Xenopus tropicalis: one gene and its partners. The protein of the gene in region 3 interacts with the protein of the main gene of each other region in a pairwise test. Links are inferred from orthologs where the notes say so. Each region holds a gene or a part of one and is shown on either strand. Other genes may lie near its edges. The genes, in order: rac1, gse1, ralbp1, amotl2 and tsfm.

Region 1 (3,514 bases), on a different chromosome or scaffold from region 3:
TCCATCCACCATAACATTGGCAGAATAGTTGTCGAAACTAAAATGGAGAAAGGAAAGCAAGGTTTTTATATGAGCAGTAACACAAGAAAGTTACAGTCTCTCGTCATGTCTAAACAGGCAGAACAAAGGCAGTTTCTCCTTGTTTATTTCCTTGGATCACAGGTAGGTAAACAGTACAACAGAAACGACTGTCAGCTATAAACGGAACAAGGAAGCTAAAAAATAGCCCACAGGAAAGGCATTTGCTGGGCTTAGAAAACTACAAGAACAAAGTTCAGATTATCCAACTATCAGACCCTGCAGTCCATGGGTGGAGTTTGTTATATAAAATGAGGGTAGTCAAGTATCCCAGGAACTGAAATAAGGAGAAGAAAAAGCCCATAAGCAAAGCCCTCATGCTGAACTGCTATATAAGGGAAGGGAATGATTAATGCTACTTAACCGTTTGATCCCTATAATATAATTCAGACAGGGTGACCGGCTAGGAACTAGGAACAGATACGGAGCAGCTATACACCTACAGCCAAAACCTTTTATGGCTTTGTTTATGACTGACAGTAGCCTCTTTAAAGTAAATAAAAAGGTCTTTAAGATACTCCCTTTCACCCACCAACCCCTGAAGAATTTGAAGCATTTTGGAGACATCACAGGCCCCAGGAATAATCCCAAACCTGGAGACTTTTGACACTGAATCGCCACAAAAACAGTTCAATATTTTTCTACGAAATTAATTGCAACTATTTTATGAAGCCATATGCAGATGGCTTAGGGCAATGACATAGCAGTCAGCGTCCCACTGGTAACCGCCTCTCCCATAAGTGACAAAGCATCCAAAAAAATCCATTCAAACTGGTTGTTCACCGTTAACTTTTATTATGACATAGGCATAGGGCCTAGTTTACCTTAAGGTCCCCATACACGGGCCAACTATAGCTGCCGATATCGGTCCCTTGGACCGATTCGACAGCTAATCGGCCCGTGTATGGAGAGAGTAGAGCAGCCTGGCCGACCGATATCTGGCCTGAAATTGGCCAGATATTGATCGGGCAGGTTAGAAAATCCGGTCGGATCGGGGACCGCATCGGCTCGTTGATGCGGTCCCCGAGCCGACTGCCCCATTGCTGCCCACATAATCCGATCGTTTGGCCCCAGGGCCAAACGATCGGATTATTATTTTTTTTACCTAAATCCTCCCCGATATCGCCCACCCGTAGGTGGGGATATCGGGTGAAGATCCGCTCACTTGGCGACATCACCAAGCGAGCGGATCTGCTCGTGTATGGCCACCTTTAGTATCCAAGAACAATTGGGATCAGCGCATATAAAGCAGTGATTCTATGTAATTTGGTCAAAATCCCTTCTTTCATATTTTCCTGTAATTACCCCAAATCATCCATAGCCGACAAATAACTCCATCTGTCTGTCAATAAGCACTGACTTGTTAATAAATAATAATAATAAAATAAACCGTGCAGTGTTTGTGTGTGTGCGCGAGTGTACCAGACTCGCTACAGTGAGCCCAACCAATCGCAGTCTAGTACAGAAAGGCTTATAAATCTAACACCTTACAAAATAAAGAAAGATAAATAATGCTAATAATTTTGCTCTAGTAACTAGAAGTTACTGTAAAGTCCATCTTCTCCTTTATGGAAATTCCATTTCCAGGCACAGCTAAGTAGTAACTAAGCCTGGAAGAACATTACCCTGTGGTCTGAAAGCAATCATGTAGCATTGTGCTGCTATTCCTTACGGAGCTTTATTGGGGTAAAACATTTACAAAATATGAAAGAAACAAGAATATGCTGCAGGGGGGGGGTGCCTGTGCGCGGAGAAGTTTTGCAAGCAGTGTGCAGATAGCAAGGACATCTCTGAGATGCAAATGCTGATAATTTTAGAGCCACCCACACAACTAATGAGTCAGGGCCCAGAGACTCCCAGAGTCAGGGAATTCTGCCTGCATGTTCATGTCAGAGCCTTCCACTGCACCGGGCTACAAGGAGGGCACCAAGCCTCAAATTGGCACTGCGTTATTTATGCTTAAACTGGTAATATATGAATATTGTAACCCCTTTAACAACAAGCATATGCATCTAAAACAATTGACACAAAGGGCAAAGCTAGATGTACACAGTTCCTGCAGGGTAATTAAAATGTTTTGGTTGTCCGTTAACACATTCACCATTATGGGCTATATACCAAAGTGGTCCAAGAGCAGATACAAAGCTAGACCCACTTTTAAAGGGCCGGGTAACCATTAAGATAGCACTTAGTATGTTGTAGAATGGCCAAAAACAACTTTCCAATTAGTCTTCATTATTTTTCTTTAATAGCATTTGAAGTATTTGCTTTCTTCTTCTCTTTGCAGCTTTCAGTAACTCCAGCAGGCAAAATACTATTGCTCTGTGAGAACACAATTTCATTGTTACTTTTTATAACAGGTATGGGATCTGTTATCCAGAATGCTCGGGACCTGGGGTTTTCTGGACAAGGGATCTTTCCGTAGTTTTGATCTCCTACCTTAAGTCTGCTAATAAAATTATTTAAACATTTAATAAACCCAATAGGATTGTTTTGCCTCCAATAAGGATTAAGTATACCTTAGTTTGGATCAAGTACAAGGTTCTATTTTAATATTACAGAGAAAAAGGAAAATCAATTTTTAGAAATTAAGTGAGATGGCCTTTCCATAATGCAGAACTTTCTGGATAACAGATCCTATACCTGTATTTATTTTTATGTTCAAGCCCTATCCAATTCATATATCAGCCTCTCATACAAACCCCTTCCTGGTTGCTAAGGTAATTTGGACGCTAGCAACCAGACAGCTGCTGAACGGCAAACTGCAATTGTACAGCCATTGTAAATTGTCTTTGAATATAACTCTCTACATCACTCTAAAAGTTAAGTCAAAGGTGAACAACCACTTTAAGTAATGGATGAGGGGAGAAATTAGGGATGGGGTGACTTCTAATGTCAGGCCTGTACACGTGCCTTTATTCAGTAATTTCTCATTACCCAAATCAAATGCAGTTAAAGGAGCAAGCATCTGTTTGGTCATGCTGGTTGCACCATCTTTTAACGGCCTTACATACCAATGTTTCCTAGCCGACAGTGAAAACTGTTAAATACAAGATATGACATGCTACCAAGGCAGAAAATAACCACCCAGCAAAAGGAAAACATTATTTAAATAAACAGAGGCATGGATTTGAAATAAGGTATTAGAACGGAATACTTACACAGTTGGGATATATTCCCCAGGAAAAGCATTGGTAGTGTAACTGATCAGCAAACATGTTTTACCTACAGCCCTATAGGAAAAAAGAAAACATTGATTATTCAGTTGCTTCATAAAATATAACACTTTGCTGTTCATTTGACATGCAGACAACCCAATAACCTATAAAGGTGTATTGGAAAAAGACCAAGTGACTGATGCACTGTTGGTGACGACTCTTACTCTGAAGCTTGTGTTGCCAGGTGCTATATGCAACAGGCTATACAATGGCGGGGG
Region 2 (4,150 bases), on a different chromosome or scaffold from region 3:
AGGGGTCCCCTTTAATGAATTTTATATTTATGGCAATATGGGGAAACACTTCCAAATCAGTAATTGTGAAAATTGATTTTTGGCAGAACTGTCATTATAATGGTGATCTATCATTAGAACTAACCAATGGCTGTTCTGCTGCTGCAAAGATGAATCCAGGAGTGGTGCCCCAAACAAATGTAACAATAATCCATTAATTTTTGTATTGTCACTTAACAGTTTTCAGATTGCTGCCTTGGTTGTCACTACAGAAATGCTTAGGTGAGCAGCTTCAACTACCTGTACTTTGAGTTGCATTAAACTTATGTATAATATAACACTTCTCTTTTAAAGACTGCATGGTGTAAGTATTGCAGTCTTCAACTGAGTCTCACAATGACAGAAAAAAGGTTGGTTTCTCAATAAGTCTACTGCTAAATGAATGGTTTAATTTTTCTCAAACATAAAACCTTCAGCACCAAAAACAGGTGACCAATTTATATAACTGTTACAGTAAGGGCCCACAGCAACAAAATTCAAAAGGTGCTGTTACCTTATCCCAGTCAAAATGAGTCTAAGATATGTGTCCTACATTCAGCAACACAATTTTCTTATACAGTAAGTAATCTTATAAACGTATTCACATAGATTAGGCTTCATAAAAAAGCATTACCTCTTGACATCACCAATAAGTGAAAAAGGTTGTATATAGTATGTTGGCTTCCCCAGCTTACAGTGACTCCTATCCTTCAGAAGCATTTCACTTCTCTACTGTAAATCTAACACACCTATACATCCATTTCTGACTGTCGAATAAATGAATGGAGTGGTATTGAATTATCAATAGAGAGCTTCTTACCTTCTGGCTTGGTACCATAGCCCCGCTCTGTGTTGTACTGATGCCAGCTAACGCCAGTGGTCTGCATTCAATACAAGCTCCAATAAGAAGTTGTTTCCCATCATCCACTAATAAAGTGTTGGCCATCCTTGGGGCAAATAAAAAGATAGGCAACCTAGCCACCTGCACAGCCTTTAATCCTAGCATTCTCTTTTTCTCCTGTCTACAAAAGAAGCAGACAAAAGTCTCCACTTGATACTGTCTTGACCAGGGACTGCTAGGTTGTTGTGACTTCATCTCCTGCTGAAACCACTGTCCGAGAAGGTCGTGGTAGCAAAGACCACAGGTGGAAACAAGACCAGTAGAGTCGGCAGGCCTAGCTCTAGGTGCAGGAGGGTAGACTGTTAAAAAAGGAAAGAAGGGCTCCTTGTCTCCATACCTACTGGGTGGGTTTATGCTTACTTGATACTCCAAACCTGGCCCCAGCTCTGCTCCACATACATAGCATATAGATGTATGGCCAGTGTGGCTACTTATGGCTTCTCCCCTCCTGTTATGAGACACCCCTGAACAACCAGGATCTGAAGAGTTGAACACCTGATGGTACCTTGCCAAAAAGCTTTGTGCAGAGTTGATGAGCTCCTCATTCTGGGATGCCCTATAGATAGACCATATGTCTTCCAACACCCCGTAGCATTTTCTGCAACTTTGTATCTCCCCTTGTTGGTTAACCCCCCTGGAGCTAGGTGGGCAGGGCAACTGGCCAATGAAAGGAAAATGCATATTTGTTTTGGCATTGCCATTTGTTATCCGGGATTGCACCAGTTTCACCTGGTTGGCGCAGTCCTCCCCACACAGGTAGCACAGGACTGGCGCACTGGGGTGAGATTCCACTGGTCTCTGAGGAGCTGCTTTTTCTGGGGTACTGTTGGCATGAAGAGGCACCACATACAGTCGCTGTAAAACAGGTACACTGGCAACGTCAAAGCTGTGCCACTGCTGCATCAGGGAGGAGAAGCAGCGCGTACAGGCACGGGCACTGCCCCCAGGTGTAATGGCTTGCGCACCGGGCGGAGGCGTGTGGAGCCAAAGGAAAGGGAAGAAGGGCGTTTCAGGCGTGTGTTCTTGTTTTTGTACGTGTATAGTGTGCCCGGCGCTGTGCCCCCCACAAATGTAACAGAGCCCAGGAAGGTGTCCGTTCTCTCTCCCGTGGGTCTGGTGGTCAGTCTCTGATCCCAAGCGCCTAGCTCTGTCATTAGGAGATTCCCGGCAGGGGGCGCAGTGTTGGGGTGCCAAGCTAGGTACCGTGGATGCCCACTGTCTCCTGTTTCCCTGTGTGGGTTCCGGCCGGGCTTCCCCGCTCTCTTCGGGCTCACTTAGAGGATTGTCGGACAGGTCTGAGAGGTCAGAGTCGTAATTGGGGTTCCAGTCCCTGGGGTTATTTCGAGCTCCGTCCCCGCCGCACTGGTAGGGCCGCTTGAGCCAGTACATGCGCTTCTCCAGCGGTGTCCGGCTGCGCTCAAACGCGTCCCACTGAGCGGCCAAGAAGCGCTGGCACACGGCACACACTCGGACGCACCCCCCCGGGCTCAGCGGTTCTGCCCCAGGGGCCGGCTCCTGCTGCTGTAGGAACGGGAAAAATGCGCAACCTTCCCGAGCAGGACACCGGACGGGCAACCTCACCTCTCGCCCCCTGGGCACCCCTCCTCCGCAGATAAAGCAAAAAACCAGTCCCGTCTGCTCACCCGTTCCAGGCGTCGTGCCTTCATCTTCCTCCAAAGCTGCCATTAATCGTTGCTTACGGGACATCGGGACGGATCCGGTATCACTCATGCCCTCTGTGCCAAGCCCCCCGCTGCCAGTCTCATGCCACCCGGGGCAGCGGATTCCCCCCCCCTCAAGTCCAAAGCACGGCGGAGTTTGTGCAAAGTTTCTCCAATGGGTAAGGGGTGAGAGGGGGTGAGGTGACCCGGATAGATAGCGACCCGCCCCCACTTGGGCTTCTGACACTCAGTTCCCCAGAATCTGTAAGCCCGCTGTGGGCTGCGCAGTACATGGGATCAGCCCCCCAGCACCGCCCCCTGGCAGAGCACATGGCCTGGCTCGATGTGTAACCCCTCCAGTGCCGCAGCGTGGGGGACAGTAGGAACATGCCGGGCTATCTAGCAGGAATGTCCATCATACTGCCTTCCAGCTGTTGTTTAACTGCAACTCCTAGAGGGCTGCAGGGGAGACATACCAGTAATACTGTAAGGGTAGTCCCTATTTGTTACCATACCATTGCACTGTACCAATACCTTCTTCTTAACCACTGGACCCAATGTTATTGTGCCTCATGGCAAGTTCAATTTAGTGCCCACTCCCCTAAACTTGTAAATAAGACATTTTGATTTTTAATAATATATACTGAAACTGTTTAGTTAATGTCCCAGTTAGACCCCCTCTACCTCCTGGGAACTCCACCAGGGCCATTTCCCCTTGCTTAACTGTTTCCTGTTAAATTTCTTCAGCTAGTTTTTATCCAGCTATCCTTAAACTTCAACTTCCACAATACCTGAGAGGTATAATTGATAGATGGATGGAGACTATAGAACACACTGTACAGTGTTGCATGGCCCTGCCTTTGGCTACAGTATATATTGGGCATATCCATTTCTTCTGCAGATTTCAGACCCTGCAGCTAAAGAATGGCCTAGTAGCAGGGCAGATTTAAGGCCTTGGTGGGAATTGGGCAAAGATCCAATTGGCGATTCCCATCATCCTGTGCAAACTCATCCTCCAGTACCATCACCATACAATTACAGTTACACTCACACAATATGCAGATGTTTTCAAGGTCCAATCCACTCCGCTATGTGTGCCCACACGGCAGTCGCCGTAGTTTTTTATTCAGGCACACAAAGGAGCATAGGCAAGCGGATCTGCTTCTCTAAAGTTGGCTAAAAAACATAGGGCTGATAGAAGCAGATATCCGCACCGTGTGCCCTAACATTAAAGGAAAACGAAAAAATATTTCCAAAGCAATTTATGCTTTTTACATTGAGAGTAATTGGGTCACCAGAAAAAAAATGGCATATCAGATTTGTCCCCAATTCCAAATCTTCACCCAAGATTCCAGCAAAGAACAATATCAGACATGCCAAGGCCCCAGATAAAGGCATAAGGCATTATTAGGCATAATACAACTGTGAGCCCTGGGCAGATGCTCCATTTGCCCTTTAATTAAATTGAAGTCTCCCAAAAATAATTTGCCATAACATAACATTAAGATGCTTGCTAGTAAAACAAATTACTTGCGGCAATCTAAATTAATTGCTGGAAAATGTCAAGGGA
Region 3 (3,514 bases):
GGCTGATCTTTTGGGGCTTTTGTTTCGGGGAGGTTGTCTCTCGGCAGCTGGGATCGGACACTGTGTTTCCCAAGCTCTTCTTCCTCCTGCAGCTGCTCACATTTCACACGCTGCATCTGTAACAACCGGAGCTGCACCCGCAACTCAATGATGGCCTCTCTTTCCTCATGAATTGCCTGGTTTAAATGATTATTCTTGATCTGATGAAAGAGACAGAACGTAAGTCTAAGAACCCAGCAGAGATCCTGGCTTGTATCCCAGTGTTCCTAATGAATGTGAAATCCAGGGTCAGGGATAATCACCAACACTTGTATCTTCTCTGAAGATAAGCAAATATTACAATAGACTGGGGTAAGTGCCACCTAAGGACTGGTCAGCAAGCAACAATGACCAATCAATGGCTGGTAATCTGTACAATGGAAATGGGATAAATACTGACAGTGTGCTGGCACTATAACACAGTAGGTAATAAGTTAAAGCAGCTATATTATATAGCAATAGACATTTCAAATTACCTCCAGCTCTTCATTCTGCCTCTGCAGATCTTCTAAAATGTATTGTAGTTCATCTTCATCCTCACTTTCACTCTCACTCTCTGAGGAATACTCTTCTGTTTCACTTCGACCGTGTTGTTGTTGGCGGCTGGAAAATATTGGCCAGTTCTGTTATTTCAAGTTTTTCTGGGATCAAAGGTAAGATTAGTTCTAGATATGAGCTAGATTTGTGTATTTAGCTATATAGCAGTTATGGCCAGCTGGAATAGCAGTAATGTTGATTGTTGTGTGCAGCTGGGTGTGATGCAAATAGTCGGTCTAGTGTAATAAAGAGTGGTACTCCTGGCATTATTCAACGCTTTCATAATTCAAACATATTAGTTACTAGCTCCTATAATGAAAAGAGCACATCACATACAGTTATATGGCTACTGTACAACTGGGTTCATATGTGCCCTATAGGCAATATTTAGCTGCTCCTATAGGAGTATTTGTATACCGTAATTCCCCCAAATCTATAAGCAAAAACCTTATGTCTGATATATGTATATGCACGTGTAGAGTCTAGTTGTAAATTACTTCAGGAAATGTTGGTTCTAATCTGAGTGTGAGTGTGCAATACCTTTGAATTTCAGAAATTTCTGCTCTGAGGCGCTCTATTTCTTCTTTTTCTGTAGCAATTTGTCTACGAAGGTACTGCTCCATTGCCACAAGTTCCTCCTGCTCTGTCAGAATCTCATTCTCCTGGAAAATATGTTAGACATACATAGGATACAGAAGACCTATTATCAGGCACACCATACACACATAGCAAGCTAATTATAACAAAAGAACTGCTACAATGATGCAATGTCTAGCAAAACTATTCACTAAATTTATGTGGGGTTATGTAAAAGATGCAATGACTGCTAAATGTCACATTAGCTATAGTACATAGCATTCACTGGCTACCTAGTTAAACACAAACCTCTTACTGGTTGCCATTGGTTACTGCACCTGGGCAAACTATGTGCCTTTTATCACATTTGGGGGAATAGTGTTTTTATTGTAATCGGATTGCGTGTCCCCTGTCTACATTTCTAATAAAGACTGAAATTCAAAGGTAACTGAACTCATCTGCTAAATTGTATAGATCCCCAGATTATGCCTGCAAGGATGGTAAATGTAGCATGCCATTGATTTAAACATATATTCTTTCTATCTCATGCGGGATATTCTGTCTTTTTCCTTCTACCTTAGTTCTGGCAGCAATGACTCTTGATTCACCACATACATACATATTTTACAAAATAGCTAAGGGTGCCCCTTTATGGCTAACCCTATGCAGGCCAAGTTAGCAGCGTTGCTATGTAGAAATAGTGAATGGTGGTCGCTACATTATGACTGAGATATTGCAGTGGAGAAATACAATTTCCAGTCGGCTGATCCTATGCTTTCATCTGCTGCATATACCTGTGCAAGTAGTATATTGAGAACCTCTTCTTCATTTTCTGTCATTTCTTCTTTTGAAACATCCTCTTTGGAGAGGCTGGCAATTTCCTGTGCAATCTTTGTTTCACAGTCCTGGCAAAAGAATGAAATTGTCGCTCAGTGTGCACATCGTGCCAAAAAAGTCTGCACATTTGGCAATATAAGTGGAGTGCAGTATTTAAACAAAGGGGTTCTCTGCTGATTCTCCTGACCATGCAAAGGCCTATATTAGGCCCATAATTTGTTTGCAGGCTCCGTCGCCTCCCCTTAAGCCCTGGGCAAAGCAGGCTCCTGCTTCTGACTCTTAAAATAATGTTAGTTGAGCAGCTGGCTTTTGCTATGCTGTTTAAGGAGTCAGAAGCATCAGTGCAGAGAACAGCAAGTGATAGATATGGCCATTACATTTACAAATAACTTCAAAGCCATTTTAAATTTTTAATTACTATATAGTGCCTGCTGCTTTAGCTATCCCTTGATTCTCTACTAAGCAGGCACATAGATTTAACAAAGCTCTGTAGGCTCTATAGATAATAACATCTCTATAGATAATAACCAACAACACTGCCCTGACTGTAAGTTGCACTGTAAGTATAGTACTTTTCTGGTTCAGACGGTCCTTTGAGGTGCAACATTTGGCAGGACAGCACTTTTGCTTTTAATAAAGTTACAGAAACACAGTTCTCATCACAGTTGCTCTTTGGTTTGTCTCTTACAAGCCTTATATCTGGACTAACCTATTTTCAACCTGGGGGTTGAACCCCCTACACTTCTGGAAGCTCTGTGGTTTTGGTATGAGATCTATGGATTTTGTTCAGAGGCAATCCTGGGGCATCACACTCAGTTCAAATATGGGAATATAGCTAGCAATATAGTGTGGCCTAAAGTGGATCTTGCAACAAAACTAAATAAACTATGCTTTCTATGCATTTTATTCCTCCATCCACTGTTTGTCTCAGTCTAGCTAAATGTTACAATTGTATTTATATAAAAACTGACCACTGACTGTCACAAGCCAGGACCTTTGTGAATTCTCACTACAGCAGCTTCCTCTTCTGAGGGAAGAAGAGAAGACAGGAAAGTGGGAATTTCTTTAATAGGTCTCACATTATCTTATGACAGATACATCCCTACAATCACCTAATTGAAATGGTAAGAAAGTAATGGTTTACAATTGCCTTCTAAAAGTTATTTTAAAAGCTCAGAAAGAACACAAAAAGAGCATGTGAAACACGTGCAGCTGTGCTGGCCAAGTCCATGGCCCCATTCTTCACGTGCCACATATATCCAGTATTTTGGTACTTGTCCAATCCCCACACAAGAGAATACATTGTTGGAGTTTGGGCATTCATGCTATAAAGATGCTGCACTGGCAGGAGAGGAATAGCCTATAAACCTTACACACCTGTCTTTTTGCTTCTCTGAGCTTCCTTTTCAGCGCAGTCAGAATCCTCTGCACCTCCCAGAGCCGCTCTTCTTTGGACAGGTCCTTTATTCCAGCCTGAAGTTCCCGGTGTAAACAGTTTAAAAGAAACTCCTGTGTGACAGAAATG
Region 4 (4,158 bases), on a different chromosome or scaffold from region 3:
CCAAAAACAAATACTTCTCTACGTACATAAATTACGTATTTGCGCACTCTTTACAATACTGTGGCTGGCCAGTGGACAATAACTACTGGATGGCTGGAATTCCATAATATTGATCTACAGCCAACATGCCATTATAAATAAACATGCTCCAGTTGACAGATGTTTTAAAGGGTAAACTTTAAATGCAATCCTACAGTAGAGATATTCCATCTACATCGTGAAGATGTTTGCATAGTATGGTTAGAAGTCTGTGCTCACCTGACTTCAGACTGGTGATATACAGGCAGTTCCCCAGAATAATGCCTTTGTTCTGTTGTGTATCCTCGTATGTCCTGTACTGGTTGATTAAAATGAGGGTACTCCGGAGGAGCACCCCTATACTGTCCCCTATCTTCCTGTTGCTCACGAGCCACCGATAGCTGGTAATGCCTTGAAAGCTGTGGGAAGCTATGAGAGGAGCTCATAAGGTTTTGAGGCTTGGCACCATTTCGCTCCAAAGACATCTGCAGCAGACGTTCACTTAAGGACCTGACATGGCCATGTTTCAAATCCTTAAGGGATTGGTCTTGCCGATGACCACCATGTTCCACTGGCTGGGTGTTCTGGGCTGCATAGTACTGTGAGAGTGCCGCTTTGGCTTCTTCATAAGTTGGCAATTCCTCGCCTTTGTGTTGAAATTCATGAGCCTTATACATGGGGTTTTCCAAGTAGAAATAGTCACAATGATACTCCTGGCCTTGGGGTTCTTGCCTTGCTGAAGGAGCCATTTGAATCTCTTCCTGTTCAAGACTTTCTAGGGATGATCTGGGACTTCCACTGCCACCTCCAGCCCGCAGAGCCTGCTCCTGGATAGCCAACAATGTACGGTTATCACTAAGATTCCCATATCTTAGTTGCTCCTGAATGAGACGGTGTAGAACCGTTCCAGAGGAATCCTCGGCTGTTCTCATCCTTAACAAGTAAATAAATCCTCAGTCAAGTGGAAAATATAAGTAATGGATTATAATCCTATTCGACTGTTGGGGAGAGCCTGTGGAACAAGAAAAAAATATATGTTTTAAGACAAAATTCTTCCAAATAACACAAGAAGGATGTGACAGTGATGGTTTTATGTCTCATCATAACATCAAGTCAATGTTCACAATGCTTAAAAGTCATGTTCACAAAGGAACAAAGAACCCTGGAGGATTCTAACTGGATTTTCCAATACAACATACACACGTTCTACTTACTTTGCTAAGAAATAGAGCTTCATTGACTTGTAAGCTGCTGATTTTTAGGCAATTAACTGCTTGTTTTTTTGGAGGTGATGGATATCAGAGGAATGGAATTTCCTCCCTTTACTAATCCCCCCCCTCCTGTCCACACATATACACACACCTCCCTTTCTATGTAGATAAAGCCCACTGTATCTATGGTATGCCCCCCTGCTGCCTCTGCCTTATAGCCCTCCCCTTGAATTCCACATTTCCTAGTTGAAGTTGAACAACCAAAAACAGTGCCAGTATTTATTTAGTTTCAGGCCTCCATAGCAAAGAAAATAAATACTGGGATTCCATCCCTAACCAACAAAAATACGGCATGTAAGAATCTTTTAATGCTGTTAAACACTCCTTGTAGCAGATTTAGTATAAATAGCCATCACAACAAATTCCCCCTTTCACTAAAACTTCTAAAATATATTTATATATATATATATATATATATATATATATATATTTATATATATATATAGGTATGTACATAGGGCCAAACCTGAACGTTCCCTTGTCTCTTACGGGAAAATATTTTCCAGCACGTAGGAGGCGAGAGCACCTTTAGCATAGCTAAGAAGTGACATCACTGGCTTCTTTGTGTTGCAATTGACATTCTTTGTGAATTGCAGCCTTCCCTCTACCCCACACAGGCCCGTTCTAAAAACAAGAATCATAATAAGAATAGAATATAGTTGGTGGATTGCTGCTGCCATGGCTAAGGTGGCAAAACACCTGCTAATCCCCCCTTTGTCTCCTTTAAAATGACATAAATGTTGTCCCTTAGATGACACTTTGTACACAAGGAATATACAATACTCAGGCATCACAGGCCCCCAGAATTTCTCAGGCACCAACAGCACCCTACATAAATACCATTGTGACAAATGACCAGTCATTGGGGGCTTTTATTCTATAGATAAGTCTATAGAGACAAAGACATACGGTATATACACATGCATACATATATAGAAACACAACAGTTTGCACATAGACTAAAGCTGTGGGTGCTGGGAGTTGCTCAGGTACCAACACAAACATTATACATTATCTACATTGAGCATTATTGCATATACAAGAAACTGAATATAAATACAGACAGACATACACAAGAAGTATTTCTATTCATTCTAGAGCAGCAGCTTTTAGATTGCAAGTTCTGCGGGACACCAGCTTAATGAAAGACTGTGTAGCAATGGTACCCATGTATAATAAACAACTGTCCTTATTCTAGCTGCTTGCGAGACATGTGACTCACAGACCGCAGTAATGCGCCGGGGGTACGATATGTACATACAGTGCGCAAATAAAAACAGAAAATAAAGGTAAAAGCAAGCGCAGGGCAGAGTGTAGGAAAGAGCGTACTCACCCGAGCATAGCCAGTGTGTGCGCAGCAGACTGGGCTCTCGGTGCGACTGTGTCGGTGCGACTGTGCCCGTACTTTCCCTGTGCGCAGTGAGCTGTGTGCTGCCTGAGAGCGCTGAGCAGACTGATCCCGCAGCACTCACGCCGCTCTAGTGCTTCAATAGCTTTGCTATGCGCGGAATGTGAGAGTTTCAGGCTCCCCCTGGGATAAAGCTATAACCACACATAACCTTTCTCCCTCCCTCCTCCACTCAGCATTCTGCCCGCCTCCTCTCATACTTTCCCTCCGGGCTGCACTCCAGTGAGCGGCCGCTGGGGGCGGAAGATCTCCCCGCGTTGGAGCCGCTAGCAGAGAGCACGCATTACTGTTGTTATTACATGTTTCTGTATAATGGCGGCTAATTATGAGGCGCCTAATTGTGCTGTCCGCACTGCCTTACAATAACAGGCACGGAAGCTCATAATAACTGTACATCAAACGAGAATACCGCCTGGGTACATCTTTCAGACTTAGAGATCAGATTTTTTTAAATAGAGCTTGTGGTAATTCCTGGTCCCCCCCTTGCTTCCATGGACACAACTGACTTTGCTCCAAGCCAATTTTACCATGATTCTGTTTAATGACACCAGAAGTGGCACCATTTAATATTGCCCCACAATTACAGTGCAGTTGTGGCGCTGCTGCCATAAGGGCAGTTGGGAAATTTACCTCAGGCAGCTGCACACTACAAGTTACTATTGTGCCCCCTCCCCTGATATATCTTCATTCAAACATTCTAATTTTTAAATAGGAATTGCAGCTCTGCTAGAGAAATGCATCCCCCCTGACCTGCTCAGACCCAAAAAACTAAATATTTTTGCCCCCCCCCCCCCCAGTATATCTTCAAGAGCAAATATTCTAATTTTTAAATAGGAATTTCAGATTTGCTAGAGAAATGCATCCCCCCCTGACCTGCTCCGATGCAAAAAACTAAAAGTGTGGGGGTCATATCAACTAGGCCGCTGAGTGGTACTGGGTTCTGCAATGCCCCTGGGTGATACTCTGGGGTACAATGCTGAATTGTGGTGAAAATCAAAATGAATCAGAAATTGATACTATTCCCTCGTTAAGCATAGCCAGCCACTACACATTTTATTTTGGCAGATATTCAGGCACATATACTCTCTGTTAGAAATAGATAATGCCCGCGGACCCCGAGCAGAGTTGGGTAAGAATGCTATACGCAGGAGGTGCTATTGTATTCACTGGCTATACAGCTTGCTATTCCAATTAAGCCATTGTCTCATATCAGTGGCTACAGATCTATGGTGCTCGTTGGCATGGAACCTAGCTTACAACTGAGAAAATAGCCTGTTGTAACATAAAAAAAGCCACTTTCTGCTTGGCCAGGAAGGGCTTCTTTACTGTCCGTCAAGGGGCTGATCTGTTTCCCTTTGATGAAAATAAATGACAGTAGGTCATAGTTTATGGCAGACCTTTCCACAATTATCTCTACGGCTATAACTGGTATGCCCAGACTGAACACATTGCAGCTAAGTG
Region 5 (4,260 bases), on a different chromosome or scaffold from region 3:
ACAAAGAAAATGGTATTTATTTTATACTTATTTATACTTAAGGCTCAACAAGGAATGTCCAAGTGTTAAGTATGACTAGATTCTGTTGATTCTGCTACTTCCCCACACTCAAAGCGTATAAAGTCCAGCACATTTATTCCTCGTGGCTGCAAATACTGCCCCACGGTTAGACTGGGCTCCAGAAGAAAGGACTGTGCCAGCATCTTTGTCTCTGTCTCCCCACTAGATTCATCCTCAAGGGAACCTACCGACAGAGGGTTCATTCCCACAACATGCTGGCCCAATCTGCGTCCAACTTCAGATATGTTGCTCTTAGGGTTACTGTCGGAATCTTTGCATATCACTAGAGCTCCATATTTTCCAAATGTGATATTAGATAGGGATGGTACATCTGCTACAAGAATGCCATGCATATAAGAGCCTATGAAGATATCAGAGGGAGTCTTCACCCAAGCAGCTCTCTTCATAGTCATATTTTCACCTAACTTCCCTTCATGGAACAAGCATGATTAGAAGAAAATAGAATTAATAAAAGGATATGCTATTTTTATATGATGCATTATTACAACTGACAAGAAGATACAAAAACTACAAATATCAGCAGTTATTGGATAGACAGAATAGATACTCAGATTTATGTAAAGTAACAGAATGTAAGTCACAGAAAAAACTGGTCACGGTCACCTTATAGGTTTAATAGATGGAAATGGTTGGCTACATGGCACATGAGCTATATCATCATGCTTAAAATATTATTTTTCTTTCTAAAGTGCCATATTTTGCAGCATTTTACAGAGATTAAACACATTCAATGTGCTCATTTTTAGCTAAGGTGCTTTTGGGTGTATTATGTCCCTTTTACTATAATAAGAAATCGACAAAATGCCATTTCCTATGTTGCCATGACTTTGTTTATTCAAGGAAGTGCATTCTAAACAGATAAAGCAGTTACACACTATAAAATCAGGAGAAACTTTACCTATTGCCAAAGCAAGTTGATCTTTTAATAATGACTCCTCAGCTTTCATTTGTAAGAGTTCTTCACCGCTTAGAAAACCCTTAGATAAAACCAAGAGAAAGACATATATTTACAGTAAAGTAGACAATAGCAGCGTGAAAAAGACTGAAAATATTAAGAAAACACTGTGTTTAACAGAGTGAATTTCATTTTATGAATTCCCTTGAATTATATGTCTAATATAAAAAGACTGATGATATTACCATATTTATAACTGTGGTTACTGAATGCAGAAGCCCTATTTTCTAGCACTTCCAAGGCAGTTGGCAGTTGGTACTAAGTTGGTAGTATGAAGTAGAGATCTAAATACTAACCTTTACATAAGAAGACATGTTCTCCTGATGACTCTGGCAATGCCTCAGAGTGCTCACAGCCACCTGCTGAACTAGCTGCTGAAACTTTGAATTCCTGGCAACAAAGTCAGTTTCGCAGTTAACCTGAAAGAATATTTGTTATGAAGCCACCATTTTTATAGATAAGGTTTCTTCAATAGAGCAACTAAAATATGAGCATTACAGGCATTTAAATAAATGCTATCGCAAAATTAATTTATGAACTACTACTACTACTCCTGCCTCTTACAATGCAGCAGATGCCAGTTCTTCTAGCAGGACTCCAGTTCCCACAATGCTTTGCATGATCTGTCATTAAAAACCCCAGTGAACACGTAAGAAAGCCATTGTTGGAACTGGAGACTTGGCTGTAAGACATTTGGCTTCTGCCGCATTGTTTCAAGAGCCAGGAGTAGCAATTCAAAGAATAGATAGGCAAACAGGTGCCTTTTTAATTGCAAATAACTGTAACACTATTCCCCTCGTCATGCTTGTACACATGAGAAAAAACATTTGCCCATGGAAACTTTTCCTGACATTCTGGAAGGGGTTAACTTAAAAGCTAACTAAAAATTCAGACGTTCCCTCTGCATTCTCCAGATTATTTAACCCAATCCCTTAGACTTTTGCAGTGAGAGACACTCACTTCCACCATCACAGATGTGTTGCCATCTTGCAGCAGCCCCACAAGACCTTCTGTAGTTTTTCTTCCTTGAAGTTTGGAAGCCTTGTCCCAGCCTTCTTTCTGAGCTTGTTGGTGCAGCCACGTCTCTGCCTGTCAAAACAAAATGAATATGAGAAGAACGAGTGTGTGCACATATCAAATAGATGTGTGACAAGTATCGCTGTTGATATTCTTCCATCAAAGAGGTACAGCTAACAGAAGAAGGTTCTGCTGTAGATTTACAGGTGACTAAACCTGGAAATGTTTCCCTATTTTATGACATTCCCTGATAAGCAGCGAATATAACATGGCTGGGCACAGGCAGGCTGGCACCTGGTACTCCCCACACAGTTCATGAGGGAAGCATACTTCTACAATCACAATTCTTTCATTTTAACCTCTTACTTGTTTAAAATCATTGCTAAATTGTTCCAGAGCCTTCTTGCAGTTGATAAACGAGTAGCCCGTCCTCTTCCTGAGTTTCACCAGGAGCTCCTTGTCTGCTGCCAGTAGCCTCACGCCTGTGTGTAACAGTCCAACCTGCTGCCGCCACAACAACTAACAACACACCAACACAGAGGAGATGTTAGCACATAAGCATTTGTCTTTCACTACCAGTCACCGCTACAATCATTCTGCCTGTCTGCCCAGGCAACAGCCGCTATGTCCGAATGCCTCATTCCTCACCTTGGCACGCAGGCTGCTGCACAGCGCGGCCATGTTCCCTGAATATGACAAGACGCAATATGATGACGCAAATGTGCCCCTTTGTTCCTGTGCTTGTAACAAATAAAGTTGCATCTGTGAAGGACTAAAATTATGGTGTAGGCATAAGAACGAAGGGGATTTGAGGAAAAAGTTGTGTCACAACCATGTGACTAATATGTGGGCGGGAGAGTTGTGATGTCACGTAGATGTAGAATTGTGTGGCGCTAAGCGCTCAGCTAAAGAGGCTTTACTGGAGGGTTGCTGCAGGTGTGGGCTGCAGGGGATAGATTGATATGGCACTTATACTGTAATGTCACCCACTGTGACCTACAGCACCTACATTTGCCTATTTGTGTCTGTTAGTTACCCCTCCCATATAGATTGTAAGCTCTACGGGGCAGGGACCTCCATCATCTTGTGTTTCTGACTCTTATTGCAACTGTACCTTGTATTTATTTGTATTTATTGTTGTACTTTGTATTTATCCATTATCTTTAACCCCCTGTTTGTATTAATGTATTCTACTGTACAGCGCTGCGTACATAAGTAGCGCTTTATAAATAAAGATATACATACATACATACATATATATACAGGATATACATAGGGGCACATTTACTAACCCACGAACGGCGAGTGCGTCCGATTGCGTTTTTTTCGTAATGATCGGTAATTTTGCGATTTTTTTGGCGTCTTTACGATTTTTGCGTAAAAACACGAGTTTTTCGGCGTCTTTACGAAAGTTGCGCAAAGTCGCGATTTTTTCGTAGCGTTAAAACTTGCGCGAAACGTTGCGCCTTTTAAGTTTTAACGCTACGAAAAAGGCGCGACTTTGCACGCAAGTGTTAACGCTACGAAAAAATAGTGACTTTGCGCAACTTTCGTAAAGACGCCGAAAAACTCGCGTTTTTACGCAAAAATCGTAAAGACGCTGAAAAACTCGCGTTTTTACGCAAAAATCGTAAAGACGCCGAAAAAAATCGCAAAAAATACGAAAAAGTCGCAAAATGTTCGTTTCCAATCAGAATTTTTCCAATTCGGATTCGAAATCGTGTCTTAGTAAATCAGTCCCATAGTGTGACATGTTTGGGGCTGGTGGTGGCTGCGCTGGTATGTGCAGGATTGATGGAGTAGAGCAGTACGACTAACCCTACAACTGACAGCTGATTTGGTCACTTGGGGTACATTTATTGCCAGACCATTTTTGAACATTCTTTTTGAACATTCTGCGCCTTTTTTTTACTTTTTTAATTTACCTCAGGAAATAATAAATTGGGGTTTTTTTGGGGAACAACCTGAGCTTTCAAAATATGCTAGAATTTTTATGTAATTTCACTTCTGAAACAAGAGGCTTCTAAATGTCTAAAAAATAAAGAAAATATTTTTTATCTTGACATAAACAAATATATCAGAAACAAATTATTTTATGTACAAAAACTTGGAAAGTCCAATGTCTTCTGAAGTTTTATGGAGATTTCAGACTCGGCCGTGTCAGACTGGCCCCCAGGATACCAGCAAAACAGGTTGTCATGCACTGT

What was found.
Region 1: the proteins of ralbp1 (region 3) and rac1 interact in a two-hybrid assay, tested with the Homo sapiens proteins (2 studies listed by BioGRID, with this or other methods). The link is inferred for Xenopus tropicalis from reciprocal best matches to the Homo sapiens genes RALBP1 and RAC1.
Region 2: the proteins of ralbp1 (region 3) and gse1 interact in binary tests that used the Homo sapiens proteins (3 or more experiments, as listed by UniProt). The link is inferred for Xenopus tropicalis from reciprocal best matches to the Homo sapiens genes RALBP1 and GSE1.
Region 4: the proteins of ralbp1 (region 3) and amotl2 interact in binary tests that used the Homo sapiens proteins (3 or more experiments, as listed by UniProt). The two-hybrid records come from large-scale screens. The link is inferred for Xenopus tropicalis from reciprocal best matches to the Homo sapiens genes RALBP1 and AMOTL2.
Region 5: the proteins of ralbp1 (region 3) and tsfm interact in binary tests that used the Homo sapiens proteins (3 or more experiments, as listed by UniProt). The two-hybrid records come from large-scale screens. The link is inferred for Xenopus tropicalis from reciprocal best matches to the Homo sapiens genes RALBP1 and TSFM.

Annotation. Positions count from the first base shown.
Region 1 is NC_030685.2:25,465,031-25,468,544, reverse strand, and holds part of rac1 (ras-related C3 botulinum toxin substrate 1), read right to left. Parts: intron 3,312-3,514; coding exon 3,240-3,311; intron 38-3,239; coding exon 1-37. UniProt on the Homo sapiens protein: Plasma membrane-associated small GTPase which cycles between active GTP-bound and inactive GDP-bound states.
Region 2 is NC_030680.2:65,182,509-65,186,658, forward strand, and holds the start of gse1 (genetic suppressor element 1), read right to left. Parts: upstream 2,808-4,150; 5' UTR 2,651-2,807; coding exon 839-2,650; intron 1-838.
Region 3 is NC_030682.2:104,600,302-104,603,815, reverse strand, and holds part of ralbp1 (ralA-binding protein 1), read right to left. Parts: intron 3,499-3,514; coding exon 3,367-3,498; intron 2,058-3,366; coding exon 1,947-2,057; intron 1,239-1,946; coding exon 1,117-1,238; intron 643-1,116; coding exon 516-642; intron 267-515; coding exon 1-266. UniProt on the Homo sapiens protein: Multifunctional protein that functions as a downstream effector of RALA and RALB. As a GTPase-activating protein/GAP can inactivate CDC42 and RAC1 by stimulating their GTPase activity.
Region 4 is NC_030681.2:130,253,999-130,258,156, forward strand, and holds the start of amotl2 (angiomotin-like protein 2), read right to left. Parts: upstream 2,811-4,158; 5' UTR 2,623-2,810; intron 1,316-2,622; exon of another isoform or gene 1,233-1,315; intron 1,031-1,232; 5' UTR 951-1,030; coding exon 259-950; intron 1-258. UniProt on the Homo sapiens protein: Regulates the translocation of phosphorylated SRC to peripheral cell-matrix adhesion sites. Required for proper architecture of actin filaments.
Region 5 is NC_030678.2:141,927,013-141,931,272, reverse strand, and holds the start of tsfm (elongation factor Ts, mitochondrial), read right to left. Parts: upstream 2,810-4,260; 5' UTR 2,735-2,809; coding exon 2,702-2,734; intron 2,573-2,701; coding exon 2,420-2,572; intron 2,126-2,419; coding exon 1,997-2,125; intron 1,456-1,996; coding exon 1,333-1,455; intron 1,059-1,332; coding exon 980-1,058; intron 491-979; coding exon 66-490; 3' UTR 1-65. UniProt on the Homo sapiens protein: Associates with the EF-Tu.GDP complex and induces the exchange of GDP to GTP. It remains bound to the aminoacyl-tRNA.EF-Tu.GTP complex up to the GTP hydrolysis stage on the ribosome.